Arabidopsis thaliana: one gene and its partners. The protein of the gene in region 1 purifies or fractionates together with the protein of each later gene. This does not show direct contact. Each region holds a gene or a part of one and is shown in the gene's direction. Other genes may lie near its edges.

Region 1 (4,787 bases):
CCCTGAGAAGTTCACCGATCTGTGTGTTGCTCATGATTTTTCTTAGAAATTTCTCTCTAGATTTGTTTAGGCTAAGCGATATCACTGAACTATTATATGTCTCTCCTTTTCGAAAATTCTAGTTTATTATCTTTAGTCAGTGGATCAAATTCTTATGGAACTGCTCTACGCTGGTTTTAAATCCTTTTTCTTTGTCTTTTCTCCATTGGTGATGTAGTCTAGGCTGATCTTCTAGAAACTAAGACTTTTTGGCTTAGATCTGTATGTGTTGAATTTCTTGGTGTCCCCGACAAAAAAAAAAGAATTTCTTGGTGTCCTGTTCTTTGTCCAACATATCGAAATTACCTAGGGAAATTTGCTGGAGTTGCCAGGTTTTGTGATTGCTGTGACTGGTACTAATTGCATAAGTACAGATTTACCGTTGTTACCATCAAAATTGCTGAGTTGCTTTCATCTATGTCAATTATGCTTTTTCTTCATATCGAAGGCATGTTGATTACTTGTGTAAACCATAGTTAGATTGTGACCTTAAAGAGTGTGTATCTTTGTGTTATTAACAAGGTATGGGAGCTGCGTACGGGACAGCAAAGAGTGGTGTGGGAGTGGCATCTATGGGTGTGATGAGGCCGGAGTTGGTGATGAAGTCTATTGTCCCAGTTGTTATGGCTGGTGTGTTGGGTATCTATGGTTTGATTATTGCTGTTATCATCAGTACCGGGATTAACCCCAAGGCTAAATCCTACTACCTCTTCGACGGATATGCTCATCTCTCTTCTGGTCTTGCTTGTGGGCTAGCTGGTCTTTCAGCTGGAATGGCCATAGGTATCGTTGGCGATGCTGGTGTCAGGTACGATCCTCTGTGTCCTTCTTTGCAGATTCACTCTTATAGCCTAATTTGCTAAAAGACTCAATTTTATACAAGTATATCTCCCTTATGAATCAGAATATCATGAGTTTAGTGTCACAATTCAACTTGATGAAAATTTGGTAGGGAATATGTGCAATTCACTGACTGTTGAATCTATAATGGAAGAAATATCAGTTCATTACATGCTTCTGTGAGATGTCTTGTGCCATGGCGTATTTCTCTAGGATGAAATATAATGGAAGAAATATCAATTCAATTGTGAGTGTCTATCCCCTGTTATATCATTTTGATACGCAAATTTGTGGTTTGATGACAGGGCCAATGCTCAACAGCCAAAGCTTTTCGTTGGTATGATTCTTATCCTCATTTTCGCTGAAGCTCTTGCTCTATACGGTCTCATCGTCGGGATCATTTTGTCCTCCCGAGCTGGTCAGTCCAGAGCCGAATGAGAAAAGAGTGCGGTTCTTGAAGTCCGCATGATTCTTTCTTCCCCTTTTCACCGGTCTCTTCATAGAGCCGGGATCTTCTTATATTGTTTGTCAGGTTAGTAGAGAGACACAGTGGTTTTGTTCCTTGTGGCATGTCTTCTCGAAACAAAAACCACACATCATCATCAAAAGCGTTGTTCCGTTTTCACCCTTCTGTTATGTTTGTAATGAGACCGTTGCGGATTCTTCTGTTCCCAGTAAGATAACTGTGGGAGACACCCTATTTATATCGTTTATCATTTTCCTAATAAAATTCCAGAAAAACTCGATTTGATCTTGTTTATGAAACTTTTTTGAATATTTTTCTGTTTTGTTTTTGGGTTTTATCGTGTATATATATATATATATATATTTGTCGACCAGTTTAATTTCGTTAAAATGAACAGAGCCCATTGGGCTGTACAGATGATGAAAGAAGCCCAAACTCCTATCGTATATATATATTTTGAACATGTGGATGTGTCTGTTAACTATCATTTTTAACATGCGTCTGGTTAACTACAAAGTTTCTCATTCCTTATCGCACACATTTGTCGTTAATAATTCAAAGCCCAAAGCCGAATTAGAACTTAAGCCCAAGCCCATATTAATGTAAGACGCCGTATACGGTATATAAAGAAGGAGATAGACGTGAAGACGATACGACTTACCTTGCGGGAATCACGCGACCAATTGATTCTTCTTCTCACAAGCAGGTACTCTCTCTCTCTATCTCTGTTTTCTCCGATTGTCAATTCTCGCGAGAAGGAAGCTTCCAATTCTAGGTTTCCGTTTTGGTTCGCGCTTTAAGCCCAATTATGGTCGGATTTGTACGTTTGGGTGTCACCATGGTAGATTCGTTTCGTTAGAATTGTGGAGTACTCGTTTAGGAATCGAAAGGTTGGGTTTTGTGCGTTTCGACGCGAGTTGTAGATGATCTTGCCTATACGTCTGCTTACTTGTGCTAAATGACTATTAATTTGGTCTTCCTTTTTGACAGTTGGCGTTAACTCTTGTTTATCTACCAGTTGAAAGATGGTAACTTTTCTCTTAAATCAGTAATTTCAATCTATCTAGTAACTGTTCTTCCATCTCATGTGTTAGTGTCCCTGCAATTGCAGTTTTACGATGGATACGCTTATCATGGAACTACCTTTGAGCAGACTTACCGGTGTTATCCCTCATCCTTTATTGATAAGGTTTGATTTCAAAGTTCCTTACTTATTATTTTATATGCTTATATATGTAAAATTGGAGAACTTGTGCAATGTTTACAACCCCAATTCTAACATCTCTTTTCTTTTTTCTTTTTTCTTTTCATAGCCTCAAATTGAAAGTGGTGACAAGAGTAAGTCTTTAATCTTACAAATAATGTGTCTTTCCAAGTTTATGTTACTCTTTATAATGCTCAAGTTTTGTAATTTGATTTCTTTGATATCTATTTTCAGTTATAATGCCACCATCAGCCCTTGATCGTCTAGGTACATTTTCTTCCTTTGCTTAATGATTCCAGCTTCTTTTTCGGATTTCATTTGATTATCCAGAGCCACTTACATCCATCACTGTTTACAGCTTCTTTGCAGATTGATTATCCAATGCTCTTTGAACTTCGTAATGCTTCAACAGATAGTTTTTCTCACTGCGGAGTCCTTGAGTTCATCGCAGAAGAAGGCGTGATTTACATTCCCTACTGGGTAACAAACAGTAGCTTGTTTTTATCACCAATACAAGATACTCGATATCTTGTGACTTAAAATCGATTGTTTGCTTTTGCAGATGATGCAGAATTTGCTGTTGCAAGAAGGAGACATGGTGAGAGTTAGAAATGTCACTCTTCCAAAGGGAACCTACGTGAAACTGCAACCCCACACAACAGACTTTCTCGATATAGCTAACCCGAAAGCCATGTAATTCCGACTTACTCCTCCCCCTCTTGTATTTTTGTCTCCATCTAGACTTTGAATTCTTTGCGAATACCGTACTCTGTGTATATTGAACCGGTTCCTGTGTTTCTGCTGCAGCTTGGAGACCGCATTGAGGAACTATTCATGTCTAACGGTCGGAGATAGCATTATGGTCCCATACAACAATAAGAAATACTTCATAGACATAGTGGAGGCAAAGCCTTCTAATGGTATTAGCATCATTGAAACTGATTGCGAGGTTGATTTCGCACCTCCCCTTGATTACAAGGAACCCGAACGACCTGTAGCACCTGCTCCAGCCAAAGGTGAAGCAAAAGGTGATTTGTATGAATTGGACATGAAATTAGCTCCAAGCTGTTAGATTCTAATGTGGTCTTCTTTTTTTGATACAGCTAAGGAGGTTGATGTGGCTGAAGCAGAACCAAAGTTTAACCCTTTCACGGGTTCGGGAAGACGTTTGGATGGACGACCTTTATCCTATGAACCGCAACCTGGTGCTGCTAACAGTAACGGCCAATCACATCCTGTTGCAAGTAGTAGTAGTAGTGGGTCAGAGAAGGCTACGCAACAAAATCGAGGGAAACTTGTGTTCGGTTCAAATGTAGAGCGGTCTACTAAAGAGACAACAAAGGTAAATAACTTGTTTAAAAGTAGTATGTGCAAAAAATGGTATCAGAGATAAGAGATGGAGTAGAAATATAATGTTGATCTATCTGTAACTTAGGTTGGAGCTGGGAAAGATAGAAAGCAAGAGGAAGAGGCTGAGAAGGAAGCCAAGTTCCAAGCTTTTAGTGGTAAAAAATATTCATTGAGGGGTTGAACCAACCAATGTGTGGAACCAATCTCTCGTCTTATTTATGATTTTACTCTTGTGCTTATGTATTATCTATGGAATTAAACGTTTAAAGGAAGAAAAAAAACACAAATAAATTCAAGAAAAAAAGAAGAAGATGATGTATGTGATTCATCATCATTAATTTTAGAGTGGGATTTATTTAGCCATTTATGTTTTTTTTTTTTTTTTTTTTTTGTCGGCCAAATTTCATATTGGATATTAAAACCCAATAAAGGGTGTTACAGATGCTGATGAAAGGCCCAATCCCTCACCATTTACAACTTTGATTAAAATTTAAAGCACAGCTTAACCCACCCAATTCTAAAGATAAGGCTAAGACAAAAAAAGTGCCACGTTGCCAACACGTGTCCAACGTGAGATGAAGAGATGTTGAAACTGACGTTGCCGGCTGATCCACGATCCACCTCTGCTCCGTCGGTCGGGCTTAATCAAATCAACACCAAGAGCTTCTTCCACATAATTCGCCGGATTCCATCAGCTGAAGATTCCATGCCACCACCTTGAAATAAATTCAGAGATCTCTCAATCTAGTCTTCAAAGGAAAGCTTCACCTAATACCTATCTTGTAGGTCCCTTCAATGGACGGTGAAGATATTACTCCCTTATAAAGGAAAAGATGAGTTTGGTGAAAGCAGAATTCTTCTGAAGAAGAAAGCAAACCGAATTGATCT
Region 2 (5,248 bases), on another chromosome or scaffold:
AATGAAAAAGAAGGCAGAGAGAGGAATATTAACCAAGGTTATGAGATAATTGGTACCCTTGTCCGTGCATGTTTGTTGTTGGAGGAAGAAAGGAACAAATCAAACGTGAAAATGCATGATGTGGTTCGTGAGATGGCTCTATGGATATCATCCGATCTTGGGAAGCAAAAGGAGAAATGTATTGTGCGAGCTGGTGTTGGGTTACGTGAAGTACCAAAAGTCAAGGATTGGAACACTGTGAGAAAGATTTCTTTGATGAATAATGAGATTGAAGAGATATTTGACAGTCACGAGTGTGCTGCACTTACAACTCTATTTCTCCAAAAGAACGACGTGGTAAAGATCTCGGCTGAATTCTTTCGATGTATGCCTCATCTGGTGGTTTTAGATCTATCAGAGAATCAGAGTCTTAATGAATTACCAGAAGAAATATCAGAGCTGGCCTCTTTGAGATATTTCAACTTGTCATATACATGTATACATCAACTACCCGTTGGTTTATGGACATTGAAAAAGCTAATACATCTGAATCTCGAACACATGAGCAGTCTTGGGAGTATATTAGGGATATCAAATTTGTGGAATTTGAGGACATTGGGACTACGAGATTCCAGACTGTTGCTAGATATGAGTTTAGTGAAGGAGCTGCAGCTCTTAGAACATCTAGAAGTTATAACCCTAGATATATCATCAAGTTTGGTTGCAGAGCCATTGTTATGCTCTCAAAGGTTGGTGGAATGTATAAAAGAGGTAGATTTTAAGTACCTTAAGGAAGAATCAGTGAGAGTATTGACTTTGCCAACCATGGGTAATCTCCGCAAGCTCGGGATAAAAAGATGTGGAATGAGGGAGATAAAGATAGAGAGGACAACTTCATCATCGTCTCGGAACAAAAGTCCCACAACTCCATGCTTCTCAAACCTCTCCAGAGTCTTTATAGCTAAATGCCATGGTCTTAAGGATTTGACGTGGCTTTTGTTTGCTCCTAATCTTACTTTTCTTGAAGTTGGGTTCTCAAAGGAAGTAGAGGATATAATTAGTGAAGAGAAAGCTGAGGAGCATTCAGCTACGATTGTTCCTTTTAGGAAATTGGAGACACTACACCTGTTTGAATTACGCGGGCTCAAGAGAATCTATGCAAAGGCTCTGCATTTTCCGTGTCTGAAAGTTATCCACGTAGAAAAATGTGAAAAGCTGAGAAAGCTTCCATTGGATTCTAAAAGTGGGATCGCGGGTGAAGAACTTGTCATATATTATGGAGAGAGAGAATGGATAGAAAGGGTTGAATGGGAGGACCAAGCAACTCAACTCCGTTTCTTACCTTCATCCAGGTGGCGGTGGAGAGAAACATAATGAACTTCACTTTCTTCTACAAACTTTTGTTGTCATGGTCTAAAGACATTTGCCGGTGTGTAAATCTCTTCCTTGTCTCTTCTTGTTTGCATAACCGTTCTCATCGTTCTTTTGGTTAGTGATCATTGGATTTGTACTTATCTCTTTCTCTAAACGATGAGTGTTTGTTTCGGCTTCATAGAAACATTACACAGAGACTCATGAGAAAATGAATAAAAACTTGCAAGTTCCTAACCATTGTAATAAAATAATAATTAACTGTCTTATCTCGTTGACAGTTTTCGGATAAATTAGAAAAGGCGGGACCCACGTTAATTGGAAGATATCAACGGCTGGATCTGCTTACTCAGATCAACTTCAGCGAAAAAAATGCCACTCTCGTTGCAATCTCCGCCTTGTGCAACTCTCTCTGCTTCAATCCGAGTACTCTCCTCTTCGCTTACTTCTTTCAATCGCATGTATTTGTGCATTGTTTGTTTTTTATCTAATGGATGCGAGCTTTGAACTTCGCAGAAGGGACGATGGAAGACGCTCGCCGCCGGATTCTCCGTTACTCCTCTTCCCGCCGTTAACTTCAGTCTTCGGCGATCGATTCCTCGGATTCTTGCTTCCGCTAGTTCCTCCTCCTCTCCTGCGTCTTCGTCTCTCGAAGCTGGTATTTGTTTATATCTTTGATGATCGTGTTTCTCATTAATTAATAAATACGATTTCTGGAAAGACAAAACAAAAGTATGGGTTTTTGAAAGATTGACTACGATTCAAGCTTTCTTTTTATGTGGGTTTGTTTTTATACTGTCTTGAGTCACTTGTTAGGAAACTATGCTTGACAAAGTTGCTATTTTTGGTTTACCTTTCTTAGTTCAGGACCTTCTGGTTGCTTTAGTTCTTAGCTGAACAGTGTTGATTTATGGTTGAATTTGAAGAAACAAATTGTGTATTTGGTGTTTAACATTGTTCTTGGATGATATCGGTTTTCCTAAAGTTCTCAACTTTATTTCTTCTGGAATGCTTTTAGATGATCATTGAGTTGTTTGATGAAATTGTGTTTTTTTTTTCAGGTGAGAACAATGAGCTAAATGCTGTTTCAGCTTTTAGTGAGATTGTTCCTGATACTGTCGTTTTCGATGACTTTGAGAGGTATGATATATATCTCTACTTCATGAGACTTTAGTTACACTGGTATATCATAAAAATGGAGTCAGACATTCTTAACTTGAGATTGTACTGAGTTTTTCTCTGGATCGAGGATACAAGAAAGAAATTAGCTTAAGATGTAAAAACTCACTCCCTCACAAGTATAACTTCTAACCTTTAGTTATTGTGAAAACCAGATAGTATAACCTTTTGGTTTTCTAATTGTGCTGGATTGATACCTTTGTTGTATTTTACTGATCTGCAGGTTTCCGCCGACTGCAGCTACTGTTAGCTCTGCTCTTCTTCTGGGTATCTGTGGTCTACCTGATACCATTTTCCGCGTAAGCATTTCAAGAGTTTTGATTCTTAGATGATAGTATATGACATCTCTTGTTTTGGGCTCATTTAATTTTGACATTTTTACATCATGATTAGAATGCTGTGGACATGGCTTTGGCGGATTCTTCTTGTGCAGGGCTTGAAACCACAGAATCTCGACTCTCTTGCTTTTTCAATAAGGTTGATCTTCTTATCCCTTATCTGTTTTTCCACTTCCAGATCTTTGCTGCTTAAAAGCTTTTTTTGCCCTTATTACTGATGAGAAAAGTGCAGGCTATTGTCAACGTAGGTGGCGATCTTGTCAAACTCGTTCCAGGTCGAGTTTCTACTGAAGTGGATGCACGTCTTGCTTATGACACAAATGGCATTATCCGCAAGGTAGTTACTACACCATATATATAAGATAATTTGATTATATGTCTCCTGTATCTTCAAATCACTAACTTGTGATGTGATGATGTGTGTAGGTTCATGATCTGCTGAGACTATACAATGAAATCGATGTACCACACGACCGGCTCCTATTCAAAATCCCTGCAACTTGGCAAGTAAGATTATTTTCAGCAAATACCAAAGCTTTACCTTTTACTGGTCTCTTAGTATTGTGCTTATCCCTCTCATAGGGTATTGAAGCTGCAAGATTGTTGGAATCAGAGGGAATCCAAACGCATATGACCTTTGTTTACAGGTACCATAAAACATACCTTTTGACTCTTTTATTTTAGAATTGTCTATCCATCTGATTTGTTTACTTTATAATTTCGTTTTGCATTCATCAACAGCTTTGCACAAGCTGCAGCAGCTTCTCAAGCCGGTGCTTCTGTCATTCAGATTTTCGTCGGTCGCCTCAGGGTAACCATTTTTTAAACAGATGCTGCTAAGTGATTTCAGTGATATGCCAAAGTTAATATCTTAAAATCATTAGGATTGGGCGCGTAATCATTCGGGAGATACCGAGATTGAATCTGCTATTAAATCGGGAGAAGATCCTGGTTTGGCCTTGGTCAAAAGATCATATAACTACATTCACAAGTATGGTTACAAGTCCAAGCTGATGGCTGCTGCTGTCCGGAACAAACAAGACTTGTTCAGTCTTCTCGGGTAAACTCAAACTTCCAAATCATAGCTTCGACCATCAATGGATTCTGATCACATTCTAACTTTCAATGTTCTCTTCAATCTCAGGGTCGATTATGTCATTGCACCATTAAAGGTACTGCAATCTCTTAAAGATTCACCCGCCATTCCCGATGATGAAAAATACTCATTTGTTCGGAAACTTACTCCTGAAACTGCAACACATTACCACTTCACCAACAAAGAGGTTAGTTCTGAAGCTAACCAACACTCATTTGCTTCTGGTTTCACTAAACCAGTGTCTCACCCTGTTTGTTTGATTCTGGTTTAGCTGGTCAAATGGGACCAGCTAAGCTTGGCTTCATCTATGGGTCCTGCATCAGTGGAGCTTTTATCAGCCGGTGTTGAAGGTTATGCGAACCAAGCGAAACGTGTTGAAGAGCTTTTCGGGAAGATTTGGCCACCTCCTAATGTCTAAATACACAGCTTTTCTCTTCATCAATAAGGATCTGTATCAATAAGAGAACTAAGTGTCCATGTTACTTGAACACTACCCTGTTTATCTTCCTGCCCTCTTTATCTTTTTCGTGGCTTGTTGTTCATCATGTCTGAGACTTGGGCTACAAGATAAGAGACTTTAGTTTTAAGACTAAAAGTCTAAAACCAAATCCTTTTCATGTTGTTTCGTCTGAACTTCGGTCTTTTTTTCTCTGTAATTGACTTAGTCGGTTCTCAGATCTCTGAGTCATGATTGTACCGATAAACCAAAATTGAACCGATTGTTTTTGTAAAACCAATCGGGTTCTATTAAAGTTCAAACTAAACTAAAAATTTAACTATGGACTGAAAATAAATAAAAAAATTCTTAGACAAAAAAAAGTTGGACATAGGCCAAACACTGTTTGTTTGACAAATTCTAAGATAAATGATAAAAAGATGAGTTTTTTTAGGGCGAGAAAGACGGTTTAAATCCAAAAAAAAAATTGGGAATTTATGTGTACCAAATGATAAATATCATGAAGACAATGAAGAGGATCAACATAAACTTATCAATCTCAGTCAGATGCATTATCTGATGTCTAGTCACTTCTCTATCCACCTTCTTTAATGTCATTTAGTAATTTTCACACAAGCAGAAACGTACCATGTTATAAATCTTATCTTCTAATGTTTACAAATTCGTACGTCTTACATTTAGTTGTTGACAAAAAAAAAAGATAATTGAAATTTAGTTCAATCATTTTTTTCCTGTGTGATTGCGTTTTTCCTTTGACGACATGTTGTTTGTGATTAATTATTGTGGGTTCATACCAATAATTATGAAATACCTAGATTATTTTTTAAA
Region 3 (7,888 bases), 6.0 Mb from region 1:
TCTTGATCTATTTTCTAGCTTGTTTTCTAGAAAGAAGTGACCCTGGTCTATACGACCTCCTTAGTCAATCCATGCAAATCATAACGTCCCCATCTCGATGTCTACCAATTTAACGTTTCCTTTTTAATTTGTTAGATATGCCCGTTTTATTTTGACTTGCTCAAACTGTATAGGGCCATCACGAGCTAAACTGATGTGACTTGGGCCTGGTGAGAGTCATGAAGCTCCGGAATGTTGTAGCTCGATGTTACCTATATAAGCTTTCTTTATGGGCCTTGAATAGGCCGAGTTCAAATGTGAGAATCCAACACCAACAGCCACTTAGAACAACTTTTCAAGATTGTGTATCATCTACCTCTTCGGCCATATTAAGAATATGTGTAGTTGGGCTTCGGTGAGACTTATGAGTTGGGCTTGCCATGACAATCCCAGATGTTACTTTTCTCTTAATCCCTAGGAAGAAAATCTTTTGGTAACTTCAAATCATTATAAGCGCAAATAGCTAGCTACTATGTCTGATGCATTTAGTTACTTTGTGCTGAGGATTGGGGTCTTTAATGTGAAATCGAAAGTTTAGGGTTTCTCGTGGATATTAGAAAACGTTAAGGTTGGAATATAAAGGAAAAGATTAACTGAAAGAGTCTGCATAGCACACTCCAGCTTAATTCCGTATCGTTTTAGGATTTCTGACTTCACTCTTTGACGGCTATATATTAATGTGATTTTCCATTATGTCAAATGTTAATTATTATTTTTTAGATAAGTTTTCGTGAAAGTTGAAACGGTGTGACTTGTGAGTGACGAATGTATAGGAAGAAACTGTGGAGGTGGGTTCCGTTTAAGGCTTTGGTGGTGTGGAGATTAGAAGTCATGGCCGCCATTTTTGAGTCACGCACGTGTCCACCTACCTTACCTTCTTATAACTTATTCATTCATGTGTTCGATAAAATATATTTGATATTAATTTAAACATACAACATAGAAGTGCACAATTACAAGAGTTTTTTTTGTTTTTCTATTTTTGTCGCTACAAGAGTTTTTAGTTTTTACTTACGTTACGTATATGCAAACGCAAGCAATTCTGCATCTATTTGTTTTTCAATGGCAGCCATAATTGATATCAAATAAATAAATTACTAATGCCACATGTTTTTTTAGCACAGCTTCATAATTCATAGGAGTATCGATATGTAACACAATAATGGATCTTGTAGTAAAATTTGAATAGAGTCAATTAAAAAAAAAAAAAAAGATAGAGTCAATCTGTGCGATATAATGAAATTAGAACGAAGCTCGAATTTTAAGATTTTAAATTATAACAAAACTCAAATGTGTTATAACATTCAAAAAAAAAAAAAAAAAAAAACTTAACACAATAATTAGTTTTTCTCATTTTGAGAAAACCAAATTCTCGAAAGTATGTGAAAAATACCATGGAATTTGAAGGATTTTGTAGATTACCAAATAGTAAACAAAATTTCTAAACTTGTTTTACTATGATTTTGTCACGAATACAAAATCAAACTCAGATAGAGAAATTAGGTGATATATAGCCATAATTGTGTTTACTACTAAAAATACAGTTATTTCTAAAAATAAGGTAAATGACCACCATGGTACCATACTATTCCATGAACAATATAGACAAATAGCCTTCCATTGTTATAATTGGGATATTGTCAAATCCATCCCGTATCTATATATATTATTATACACAAGTAGAACTTTTGATGGTGATTCATTATCTACCATTCACATGTTTTTGTATCATTAAATTGTTGATTATAAAAGCAGGATTTGATTCCACCTACTAAGAAGTAGGAAATATAAAAACATAACGCCAATTTTCGTTCATCAGAACCAAGATTTTTTTGTCGACACAATCAAACCAAATAGATAATGATACTGTTTTTTATAGTAGTATATATATTTCTTTTCCTATAGAGTATTTTATCTGAGGTCATGTGGTTGGTTAGTGACACACTTTTCATTATTTTACGTTCTAAATTAAATATCGTAAAGTTAAACCTCGTTTAAAGTATACTATAAAGAATAGAAATATCATTAATTCATTATACACACTATAAAGTTAACCTTTGTTTAAACTACTAATAAACTGGTTATTTAAAAAACTATTAGGGTTAAATTTGTGAGAAATGGAAAAGTAAGAGGCAAAAAACGAAAGAATCTTTTATTACAATGATTATTAATTTTATCAACTTTCTTTTATAGACAGCTCAGCTCCACTGATCGGCTCATGCTCCACTGATCAACTTTCTTTCATTTTTTTATCAGTTTCTCATTTCTCTCTCAGTCGCATATAAATTTGAAACGCCGATTCGTTTTTGCTCTTTAAGCTTTCTTCTTGATTTCGACGGTGTCTCTCAATCTCCGTCAAGCTTGACGAATTTCAGGTGTGATTTGCTTCTCTTCTTCTTCGCTTTCTGGACTTGTGGATTTTGGTTTTTGATTGATTTGTTCTGCTTTTTTTTTTTTGGTTGAATCTTCGCTTTTTCTCATGATTTTTTTTTGGCTGTTGCATGATTTTGGTTTTGTTAGAGTCGAATTTTTGCAGATTTTTGCTTTGATTTGATTTTTGTTGTTGTTGTTGTTTCTGGTTTGGTGATACACGAATTTTGATTTGTTCTTCCAGATGATAGTTCAATTCTGTGGTAGCTGCTGATTCTAATTATGTGATATATGTTATTAGAATTGAGAAAAATGCAGTTATTTGTGATTTCTCATAGCTTATGATGAATTGTTATAATTGCAGGAGCTATATATACCATGGCGCTCTTGTCTCAAGCAGGAGGATCATACACTGTTGTTCCTTCTGGAGTTTGTTCAAAGGCTGGAACTAAAGCTGTTGTTTCGGGTGGCGTGAGGAATTTGGATGTTTTGAGGATGAAAGAAGCTTTTGGTAGCTCCTACTCTAGGAGTCTATCTACCAAATCAATGCTTCTCCATTCTGTTAAGAGGAGTAAGAGAGGGCATCAATTGATTGTTGCGGCAAGTCCTCCAACGGAAGAGGCTGTAGTTGCAACTGAGCCGTTGACGAGAGAGGATCTCATTGCCTATCTTGCCTCTGGATGCAAAACAAAGGACAAATATAGGTACAGTTTGATGCTTATATGTTCTGTTAAAATGCTACTTAGTGTTTGTAATTGTGACATATTTCTTTGTTTGTGCTCTTTTACGGTGTTGGTATTGTTTGAATTCATCCAGATTGTTTGTCTATTGGAGAAATATTCTGTTTTGCTAACTTAACATTGTGAGTTTTCAGAATAGGTACAGAACATGAGAAATTTGGTTTTGAGGTCAATACTTTGCGCCCTATGAAGTATGATCAAATAGCCGAGCTTCTTAATGGTATCGCTGAAAGATTTGAATGGGAAAAAGTAATGGAAGGTGACAAGATCATTGGTCTGAAGCAGGTTAACATTCTCCTGTGTTTCATCTTTTGAGCCGTTTATTATTTATATACATTTTCAGCCTGTAGAACATGTTAGCTTCATATACAACACAATGATCGGTATATTATAAGGTTTCAGTCTTTTTTTTTTTTTTGCTGTAGATAACTCGTTCTGTCCTTTTGTTGACCAGGGAAAGCAAAGCATTTCACTTGAACCTGGGGGTCAGTTCGAGCTTAGTGGTGCACCTCTTGAGACTTTGCATCAAACTTGTGCTGAAGTCAATTCACATCTTTATCAGGTAATTTCAAAGATAATTATTGCCAATGCTCTCACCCTAAAACGTGACAAATAACCAACTATCTACGGATGTCACAGGTAAAAGCAGTTGCTGAGGAAATGGGAATTGGTTTCTTAGGAATTGGCTTCCAGCCCAAATGGCGTCGGGAGGATATACCCATCATGCCAAAGGTATGACGCTTTCTCTATTCTTAAGATTGAAGAAAGTTAACATCTGTTTGTTTCTAATTCAGATAATATTATCTGATTCTACATAGCCAACGTTCGGATTATTTCTTGGTGTTTGTGTTAAGTTTTCCTATGACGAGTCAGGCAGTAAGATTTGACATAGTGTAATGTGTTCTGTGCAGGGGAGATACGACATTATGAGAAACTACATGCCGAAAGTTGGTACCCTTGGTCTTGATATGATGCTCCGAACGTGTACTGTTCAGGTTAGATTAATATTCTGACTTTGCGCCTTTTCATAATTTCCTTAAACTAAACTTTCCAGTTCTCATCAATAATCTTATTTTGAAACTTATAGAAACTGCATTACTTGCAATCTTGACAGGTTAATCTGGATTTTAGCTCAGAAGCTGATATGATCAGGAAGTTTCGTGCTGGTCTTGCTTTACAACCTGTGAGAAGCTCGATCTCTTTGTGGCATAACCAGAAACTTTTATTAACGATTTTGACTAACCATTGCCTCACTATTATCTAAATTCAACAGATAGCAACGGCTCTATTTGCGAATTCCCCTTTTACAGAAGGAAAGCCAAACGGATTTCTCAGCATGAGAAGGTATCTAGATTCAGTTGTTATGATCCCCGATATCTTTTTGAATTAGTTTCCCTCCCACCTTATAACTCTGGTATGTTTTGACAGCCACATATGGACAGACACTGACAAGGACCGCACAGGAATGCTACCATTTGTTTTCGATGACTCTTTTGGGTGAGTATCGATGTTTAATCTATGAAAAACAATTACATTACATTGGTTGGTTTGGTATGAGAAGCTTCTCAAAAACCAATGACTCTGTCTCGCATTCTTGATGAGTTATTGGAAAATTGATATGTGCTATTCTGTGGATTTTCTTACATATGTTTGTGTTCAAGATAGAAAGATGCTTTGGATCTTTATCCTTCTCTTGAAACAGCATGGCTAATCTTAATTTTATTGCTCTCTTTTGTTCTTATCTGGTATAGGTTTGAGCAGTATGTTGACTACGCACTCGATGTCCCTATGTACTTTGCCTACAGAAAGAACAAATACATCGACTGTACTGGAATGACATTTCGGGTCAAAATCTATCCTTAATCTTTTCTGTTAGGTTCTATAACTGTTTCATTGCAAGGAATTGGCAAATTGAAAACCATGGGATCTTCTTGAATTATATCTAATCTCATAATATTCTTCATGCTGCAGCAATTCTTGGCTGGAAAACTTCCCTGTCTCCCTGGTGAACTGCCTTCATATAATGATTGGGAAAACCATCTGACAACAATATTCCCAGAGGTTAATCATCTGCCTCAAGAGTCTTTCAATCAGCCTATGACTTTCATTTCCCTGTCTTATGTTGAAGTCTGACAACGTTCCATAACACTAGGTTCGGTTGAAGAGATACTTGGAGATGAGAGGTGCTGATGGAGGTCCCTGGAGGAGGCTGTGTGCCCTGCCAGCTTTCTGGGTAACTACATCTATTAGCACATATATATTTCGTGCTTAATGAGAATGTTTCAAAAAGTATTGACTGTTGTTTTGATTTTATCTACAAATTTCAGGTGGGTTTATTATATGATGATGATAGTCTCCAAGCTATCCTGGATCTGACAGCTGACTGGACTCCAGCAGAGAGAGAGATGCTAAGGAACAAAGTAATAACAAGACGCACCACATTTACATTTTCTTATTCCACAGTTAGAAAACATCTTGTAATAAACTAATACTTGATTTCCAACAGGTCCCAGTTACTGGCTTAAAGACTCCTTTTAGGGATGGTTTGTTAAAGCATGTCGCTGAAGATGTCCTGAAACTCGCAAAGGTGTGTTTGTATGAACCCTCTTAGAAACTTCGAGCCAGCTTTCTATCCCGTCTGGTCCAGCTTCTAACTATTGGACTTATTTTCTCTTTGTTTCTCAGGATGGTTTAGAGCGCAGAGGCTACAAGGAAGCCGGTTTCTTGAACGCAGTCGATGAAGTGGTCAGAACAGGTAAATGAAGTTTCCTAATGCATAATTGAATTCCACACCGACATTTTGTTTGATAACCTGGTGGTGAAATTTGGTTTTGAAATGACAGGAGTTACGCCTGCGGAGAAGCTCTTGGAGATGTACAATGGAGAATGGGGACAAAGCGTAGATCCCGTGTTCGAAGAGCTGCTGTACTAAGAAAATGGGACGTGAACAAAAGGTGTCTATAAACCTTTGGGTGTGAGTTTATGCTATCTGAAGAATTCGAGTCTCCGGAATAAGGATTTTTTTTTTTGTTGTAATCGGATTTTAAAAACTGATTTTGTTTTAGAAATTCGAAGCATTGAAAAGCAGAAGAAAAATTGTATGTACTAAACGATTTCGGTGTGGGAAATCGTTTGGGAGGGTGTGTTTGGATCTTGAATAAATTACCCATTTTTCTTGTCACAAATTTGTCTACATTTAACGAAATAACTCAAAACTGATTTCAAGGCAAAGGCGACGGATGGGATAATCTAGGCTGTGTAGTGGAAAGTTTTGATGTTTAGTAATTTGGCAATGTATGTTTTTTTCTAAATGGGAGAGCATCTTCGATGTAGACATTTACGAGCTTTTCCTTTAATAGGTTTTGGCTAGTGAAGAACACTGCTTTCATAATTGAATCCACCAGACTCCGCGTAAACTAAACTGATTACAACACGATGATCCTGGCCGTCGGTAATTATCGTAAAACAAGAAGATAGTGGCACTTAGGTGACAGGATAATATGTAAACCCTACCAAGGCGTCCCTACAAAATGATGAGTGATGACTGATGAGAGTGAGAAAAACCGAGTCTCCACAGTCCACACACTGCCTTACCTAATTAATATACCCACCTTTCATTCATGTATGTTACGTCAACGTTTTTATGTCCGTTAAAACTGTAATCTACATAAGAGATCATAATTTTTAAAATCTCCATGTATTTCGTTGATACTTTAATTTGGCACGTTTCTAGTTTTTGAGATCAAATGTTTTTAATCTGCTTCTAGTCTTATTTTTCCTAAACCTTAAACTGTAAACCAATTGCTTTTTCACATAACCTTGCTTGTTTTCAATTTTAAAATTTAAGTCCAATATTTGAAACAACCTAACAAATGTCGTCTATGGCAACCAAAAAAAAATAAAAAATCAAAACAATTTGCTAAAAAGGAAATTGATTAAAATTGATTTCTTTCATTTAAATTGGAATTTAATATATTAGGTAAACATGTAAACGCAATCGCAATTTTTATGAGAGACTTCGGGCCGGTTCGTTTAAGTGTCGCTGCGACTATAACTAGCGACTGGCTTTAAAAACGACTGAGTTTTGTTTGTTTTTATTGTTTTTTTTTTAAGTTCGAATATGTCGTATAGATCTGTAAAATAATTCAAATGTGGCTTTGTCCCATAGATTGGTTTTGATTATGCAATCATCTATCACAACAGTGGAACATTATGCAATCATTTATTGTCTATCAAATTAATTATGGTTATGAAATATGAAGGATCTTACATCTTAAAAAGTGTTAATTATGATCGCATGCCATTTAGATTCTTTCAAAAATTCAGTTTGAAAGTGGAAAGCGCGCCAAAATTTGCAGAAATCAAAAATCCGTTAAAAAACGTTACCAAAAAAATATTTTAAAACGGGCCAAAATATTTCAAATGTGGATTCCATAGATTGGTTTTGATTATGCAATCATGTATTACAACAGTGGGTTGAAATCACTTCTCCTACCTGATCATTAGCTTCAAAAGTGCCTTGGCTACAGTAATAGGATTTTTCATGTATATGAAAATATTAGTTCAAATGGGAGACAATCTTTTGAATTGGTATAGAGGTTGTCAGGTTGATCAATGATTCAGGGGAAGAGTGATGACAAATACTAAGAAATGATCCAGGAGGTTGTCATCCGTTTTCCTATTAATAGAATTGGATAAAAACTTATTTGACTTCTAAATATTTATTAGGTTGAACATTT
Region 4 (3,726 bases), on another chromosome or scaffold:
CTTTTAGTTCTGTAGAAGAAGTAAAATTTCTATTACATCCACTCTCTGCCTTCGATTGTTCAGTTGTTTCAATCAAACATTGGACACAAATAGAAACGCTCTAGGTTTGCCTGCAAAGTCTAATTCATTCTCTTCCATAGTAGACATATTCTAGTTATGCTTTCAAAGTCTTAACCATACTCTTCCATTTTCTTATCACTTTCTTCTTGCTTAGGGAGTTAAAAGTGACGTGAGGACAAGCTCCGGAATGTTTCTAACTCATGTAGAAAGAAGTTATCCAATAATACAGGTAAGTCACTCTCTCATATCTTTTAAAGGCGTGCCATTTTGATCAACTTTACAATTTTGTAAATTATATTCCTTTTCGTTTGCTATTATTAGGCAATTGAAAAGCGAATTGCAGTCTTTTCTCAAGTACCAGCGGAAAATGGAGAACTTATTCAAGTTCTAAGGTGCGTGCACAACCGCAACCTTACTATTTTTTAAATCTAAAGTAAACGAAGCTTTTTTCTTGTTTTGATGAATCAAAATCTGCTGCAGTGCAGATATGAGCCGCAGCAGTTTTACAAACCACATCACGATTACTTTGCTGACACTGTAAGTCTTTGGTTCTGTTTTCATATATATATATCATTAGTAGATTGGTAAAGAAAGCTTTTGCTCTGATTAAAAAAAAAACTAAAAAGAGGCTACAGTATTTAACTTTTGGTTTGGTCAATAATGTTTAGTTGGATCTGTACTTCATCTTCTCCTTCTTCATCATCTTAGAACATTTAGTTTGGAAGTACGTTTATTGTGGGTGTTCATCATATTTCCTCGTTTCTTTTCTTATGGTTGCTACACAGTTCAATCTAAAGCGTGGTGGTCAGCGCGTAGCAACTATGCTTATGTATCTAACTGATGACGTCGAAGGAGGAGAAACTTATTTCCCTTTGGTATAACACTTTCTCTCTGTTCATGCAAATTTCAGAAAACAAAATAAACCAATGGTGTAATATCTCTCTCTCTCTACTTGAAATGCAGGCTGGTGATGGTGATTGCACCTGTGGTGGCAAAATCATGAAAGGCATCTCTGTTAAACCCACCAAAGGAGACGCAGTTCTCTTCTGGAGCATGGTTTGTTTCTTCAATCTCTCTCTCTATGTCTCTACACAAACATGAATCAATTGGACTGCTTTGAGTTCAATTACTTCTTGTGTTATTCAGGGACTCGACGGACAGTCAGATCCTAGGAGCATACATGGAGGATGTGAAGTTCTGTCTGGAGAAAAGTGGTCTGCTACTAAATGGATGAGGCAAAAAGCTACTTCTTGAAGAACTACTTAAAACTTTTTAAAACAAAAAGAAACCACAGGGACTTATATTGAAAAATGTCATAGTATCTCAGAGTTTTGATTTACTCTCTTTTTGACCCTTCAATTTTAGAATTTATCATTTACATACGTAAATCAATATGAATGTGTTTTACATTTTAACCTCTCCAACAAATTCTAAATTACTGTTAGCATATAACTGACACAGAAAACAATTACTGTTACAAAAGAATTAACTATCATTTCACCGAAATAACGAAGGAGAGTGGCATTTTGGTAAATAAGAACAAAGTCTCTATTTATAATCGCATTTTGGTTGACTTGCTTCAATCTTGACCACAGCAAAGAGAAACAAACAATGGCGGCTTCTCTGCAATCAGCAAACCCTACATTGTCACGAACCCTAGCTTCTCCGAACAAACCTTCCTCCTTCGCCACCTTCCGATCTCCATTTCTCAGATTCAATTCAACATCCGTCGCTTCCAATTTCAAACCCCTAGTTTCTCGAGAAGCATCCTCATCGTTCGTCACTCGCTCCGCCGCCGAGCCACAAGAAAGAAAAACCTTCCATGGACTGTGCTATGTCGTCGGCGACAACATCGACACTGACCAAATCATTCCCGCGGAGTTTCTCACTCTCGTCCCTTCGAATCCAGAGGAATACGAGAAACTCGGTTCTTACGCTTTAGTTGGTCTTCCAGCTTCTTACAAGGAACGATTCGTTCAGCCAGGTGAGATGAAGACGAAGTACTCAATCATCATTGGCGGTGAAAACTTTGGATGTGGATCGTCACGTGAACATGCTCCGGTTTGTTTAGGAGCAGCGGGAGCTAAAGCAGTGGTGGCTCAGTCTTATGCTAGAATCTTTTTCAGGAACTCTGTTGCTACTGGTGAGGTTTATCCTTTGGATTCTGAAGTTAGGGTTTGTGATGAGTGTACAACTGGTGATGTTGCGACTGTTGAGTTGAGGGAAGGAGATAGTATTTTGATCAATCATACGACTGGGAAAGAGTACAAGCTTAAGCCGATTGGTGATGCTGGACCAGTGATTGATGCTGGTGGTATATTTGCTTATGCTAGGAAAGCTGGAATGATTCCATCTGCTGCTGCTTGATTTTGACTTCAGGTATGATTCTGTAACTTGATGATGATGATGATGAGGATTGGTAATAGGTTAGGATTGAGATCGAATTTGTGGAATAGTCTAGGAAGCTTGACATTGAATTGAACGATGCAAAACATAGTTTTCAATGGTTCTAGTTAGAGAAAGAGAACACAGTAGTTGGGATTCTAGTTTTGTGTTGTTTAAAATGTGTTGGTTTAGTTTTTGTGTGAGATTGATAATGACTTGTTATTCTTTCTCTTCGCTTAAGACTTACTTTATCTTTCCATTGGTTCAATTTCTAGATTGTACATCTCTTGATTGTAGTTGTTGGGAGGGTAAAAGTTATGATGTTGGCTGATCTTTTCCATGCTCATATCCATTAAGACTTGAGTGTCCGATAGTAGAACAATACTTCACTCTTATTTTGTCTCTAAGACTCCTTTTTTTTTTTCCTTTTTTTGTTCTATTTGTTTTGCAGGTGTCAATGGAAGTGCATGAGAGTCACTTCAAGGATCTTGATCCAATAATAAGAATATGTAATGTTTCCAAAAGCTTATGAACCTAATCTATGTTTTATGAATATATATGACTATCGGCTTTAGTCTTCAGTATCAGTTTCTTGTTTACATTTGGATGTATCAGCTGCTAAAAAAATGCATAGTTTCCCATCCCATTTGAAACGACGTTTTCTCTCATGTCTTCCACTAATATAATCTTCTGGTCATGAGAACAGAACAGGAGCTCTGTTTTTCTCACACAATGATCGAACACACTTTTGTCATATAGTATAGAGAAATATTAACACTTCTTTTTAGGCATCCGTATCTAGAGTCTTTGTTTCACTGTGACCTACCTAAGTATATCAAAACGCACGTTTGGAATTCTGAATGGCACTTTCGTAAATAGGAGGGTACAAACATTTCTCCTTTTAAATTGTTTTCATCGTGAACTCTCTCACTCACTCAACAAAGTAAAGAAACAATGGCGTATTCTCTTCCTACATTTCCCCAAGCCTTACCTTGCTCGTCAACCAAAACTTCTTCCTCCTTGGCTACCTTCCGATCTCCTTTCTTAAGATTCAATGGTTCCACTTCCTTAATCCCCTCCTCTATCTCCATCACTTCACGTGGCACATCCTCCCCGACCATCATCCCACGTGCTGCCGCCTCAGAATCCGACTCTAACGAAGCCCTAGCCAACACAACCTTCCACGGCCTCTGCTATGTCTTGAAAGACAACATAGACACCGACCAGATCATCCCAGCAGGAGCCGCTTGCACCTTCCCATCGAACCAGCAAGAGCGTGAT

Evidence for each region.
Region 2: the proteins of AT4G38930 (region 1) and AT1G12230 fractionate together in Arabidopsis thaliana (co-fractionation; one large-scale study listed by BioGRID). This does not show direct contact.
Region 3: the proteins of AT4G38930 (region 1) and GSH1 fractionate together in Arabidopsis thaliana (co-fractionation; one large-scale study listed by BioGRID). This does not show direct contact.
Region 4: the proteins of AT4G38930 (region 1) and AT2G43090 fractionate together in Arabidopsis thaliana (co-fractionation; one large-scale study listed by BioGRID). This does not show direct contact.

Annotation. Positions count from the first base shown.
Region 1 is NC_003075.7:18,147,537-18,152,323, forward strand, and holds AT4G38930 (Ubiquitin fusion degradation UFD1 family protein), read left to right. Parts: upstream 1-1,996; 5' UTR 1,997-2,051; exon of another isoform or gene 2,052-2,235; intron 2,236-2,335; 5' UTR 2,336-2,370; coding exon 2,371-2,373; intron 2,374-2,456; coding exon 2,457-2,534; intron 2,535-2,658; coding exon 2,659-2,683; intron 2,684-2,783; coding exon 2,784-2,816; intron 2,817-2,907; coding exon 2,908-3,029; intron 3,030-3,111; coding exon 3,112-3,242; intron 3,243-3,356; coding exon 3,357-3,577; intron 3,578-3,652; coding exon 3,653-3,891; intron 3,892-3,984; coding exon 3,985-4,080; 3' UTR 4,081-4,240; downstream 4,241-4,787. Other genes in the region: VHA-C3 (vacuolar-type H[+]-ATPase C3), read left to right, coding at 562-847, 1,185-1,317.
Region 2 is NC_003070.9:4,146,328-4,151,575, forward strand, and holds AT1G12230 (Aldolase superfamily protein), read left to right. Parts: upstream 1-1,634; 5' UTR 1,635-1,722; coding exon 1,723-1,776; intron 1,777-1,866; coding exon 1,867-2,008; intron 2,009-2,411; coding exon 2,412-2,490; intron 2,491-2,582; coding exon 2,583-2,648; intron 2,649-2,752; coding exon 2,753-2,828; intron 2,829-2,922; coding exon 2,923-3,006; intron 3,007-3,099; coding exon 3,100-3,204; intron 3,205-3,293; coding exon 3,294-3,374; intron 3,375-3,449; coding exon 3,450-3,514; intron 3,515-3,608; coding exon 3,609-3,678; intron 3,679-3,751; coding exon 3,752-3,927; intron 3,928-4,011; coding exon 4,012-4,150; intron 4,151-4,234; coding exon 4,235-4,381; 3' UTR 4,382-4,729; downstream 4,730-5,248. Other genes in the region: RPS5 (Disease resistance protein (CC-NBS-LRR class) family), read left to right, coding at 1-1,353.
Region 3 is NC_003075.7:12,101,651-12,109,538, reverse strand, and holds GSH1 (glutamate-cysteine ligase), read left to right. Parts: upstream 1-1,843; 5' UTR 1,844-2,414; intron 2,415-2,773; 5' UTR 2,774-2,787; coding exon 2,788-3,113; intron 3,114-3,283; coding exon 3,284-3,434; intron 3,435-3,603; coding exon 3,604-3,711; intron 3,712-3,788; coding exon 3,789-3,881; intron 3,882-4,060; coding exon 4,061-4,144; intron 4,145-4,263; coding exon 4,264-4,332; intron 4,333-4,422; coding exon 4,423-4,493; intron 4,494-4,577; coding exon 4,578-4,646; intron 4,647-4,900; coding exon 4,901-4,994; intron 4,995-5,120; coding exon 5,121-5,210; intron 5,211-5,301; coding exon 5,302-5,382; intron 5,383-5,476; coding exon 5,477-5,569; intron 5,570-5,655; coding exon 5,656-5,736; coding exon of another isoform or gene 5,737-5,760; exon of another isoform or gene 5,761-5,834; coding exon 5,835-5,904; intron 5,905-5,992; coding exon 5,993-6,081; 3' UTR 6,082-6,178; exon of another isoform or gene 6,179-6,440; intron 6,441-7,231; 3' UTR 7,232-7,404; downstream 7,405-7,888.
Region 4 is NC_003071.7:17,917,286-17,921,011, forward strand, and holds AT2G43090 (Aconitase/3-isopropylmalate dehydratase protein), read left to right. Parts: upstream 1-1,640; 5' UTR 1,641-1,671; coding exon 1,672-2,427; 3' UTR 2,428-2,439; intron 2,440-2,896; 3' UTR 2,897-3,211; downstream 3,212-3,726. Other genes in the region: AT-P4H-1 (P4H), read left to right, coding at 215-289, 382-452, 546-597, 846-935, 1,024-1,116, 1,207-1,314; IPMI2 (isopropylmalate isomerase 2), read left to right, coding at 3,400-3,726. UniProt on the Arabidopsis thaliana protein: Catalyzes the isomerization between 2-isopropylmalate and 3-isopropylmalate, via the formation of 2-isopropylmaleate. Plays an essential role in leucine biosynthesis.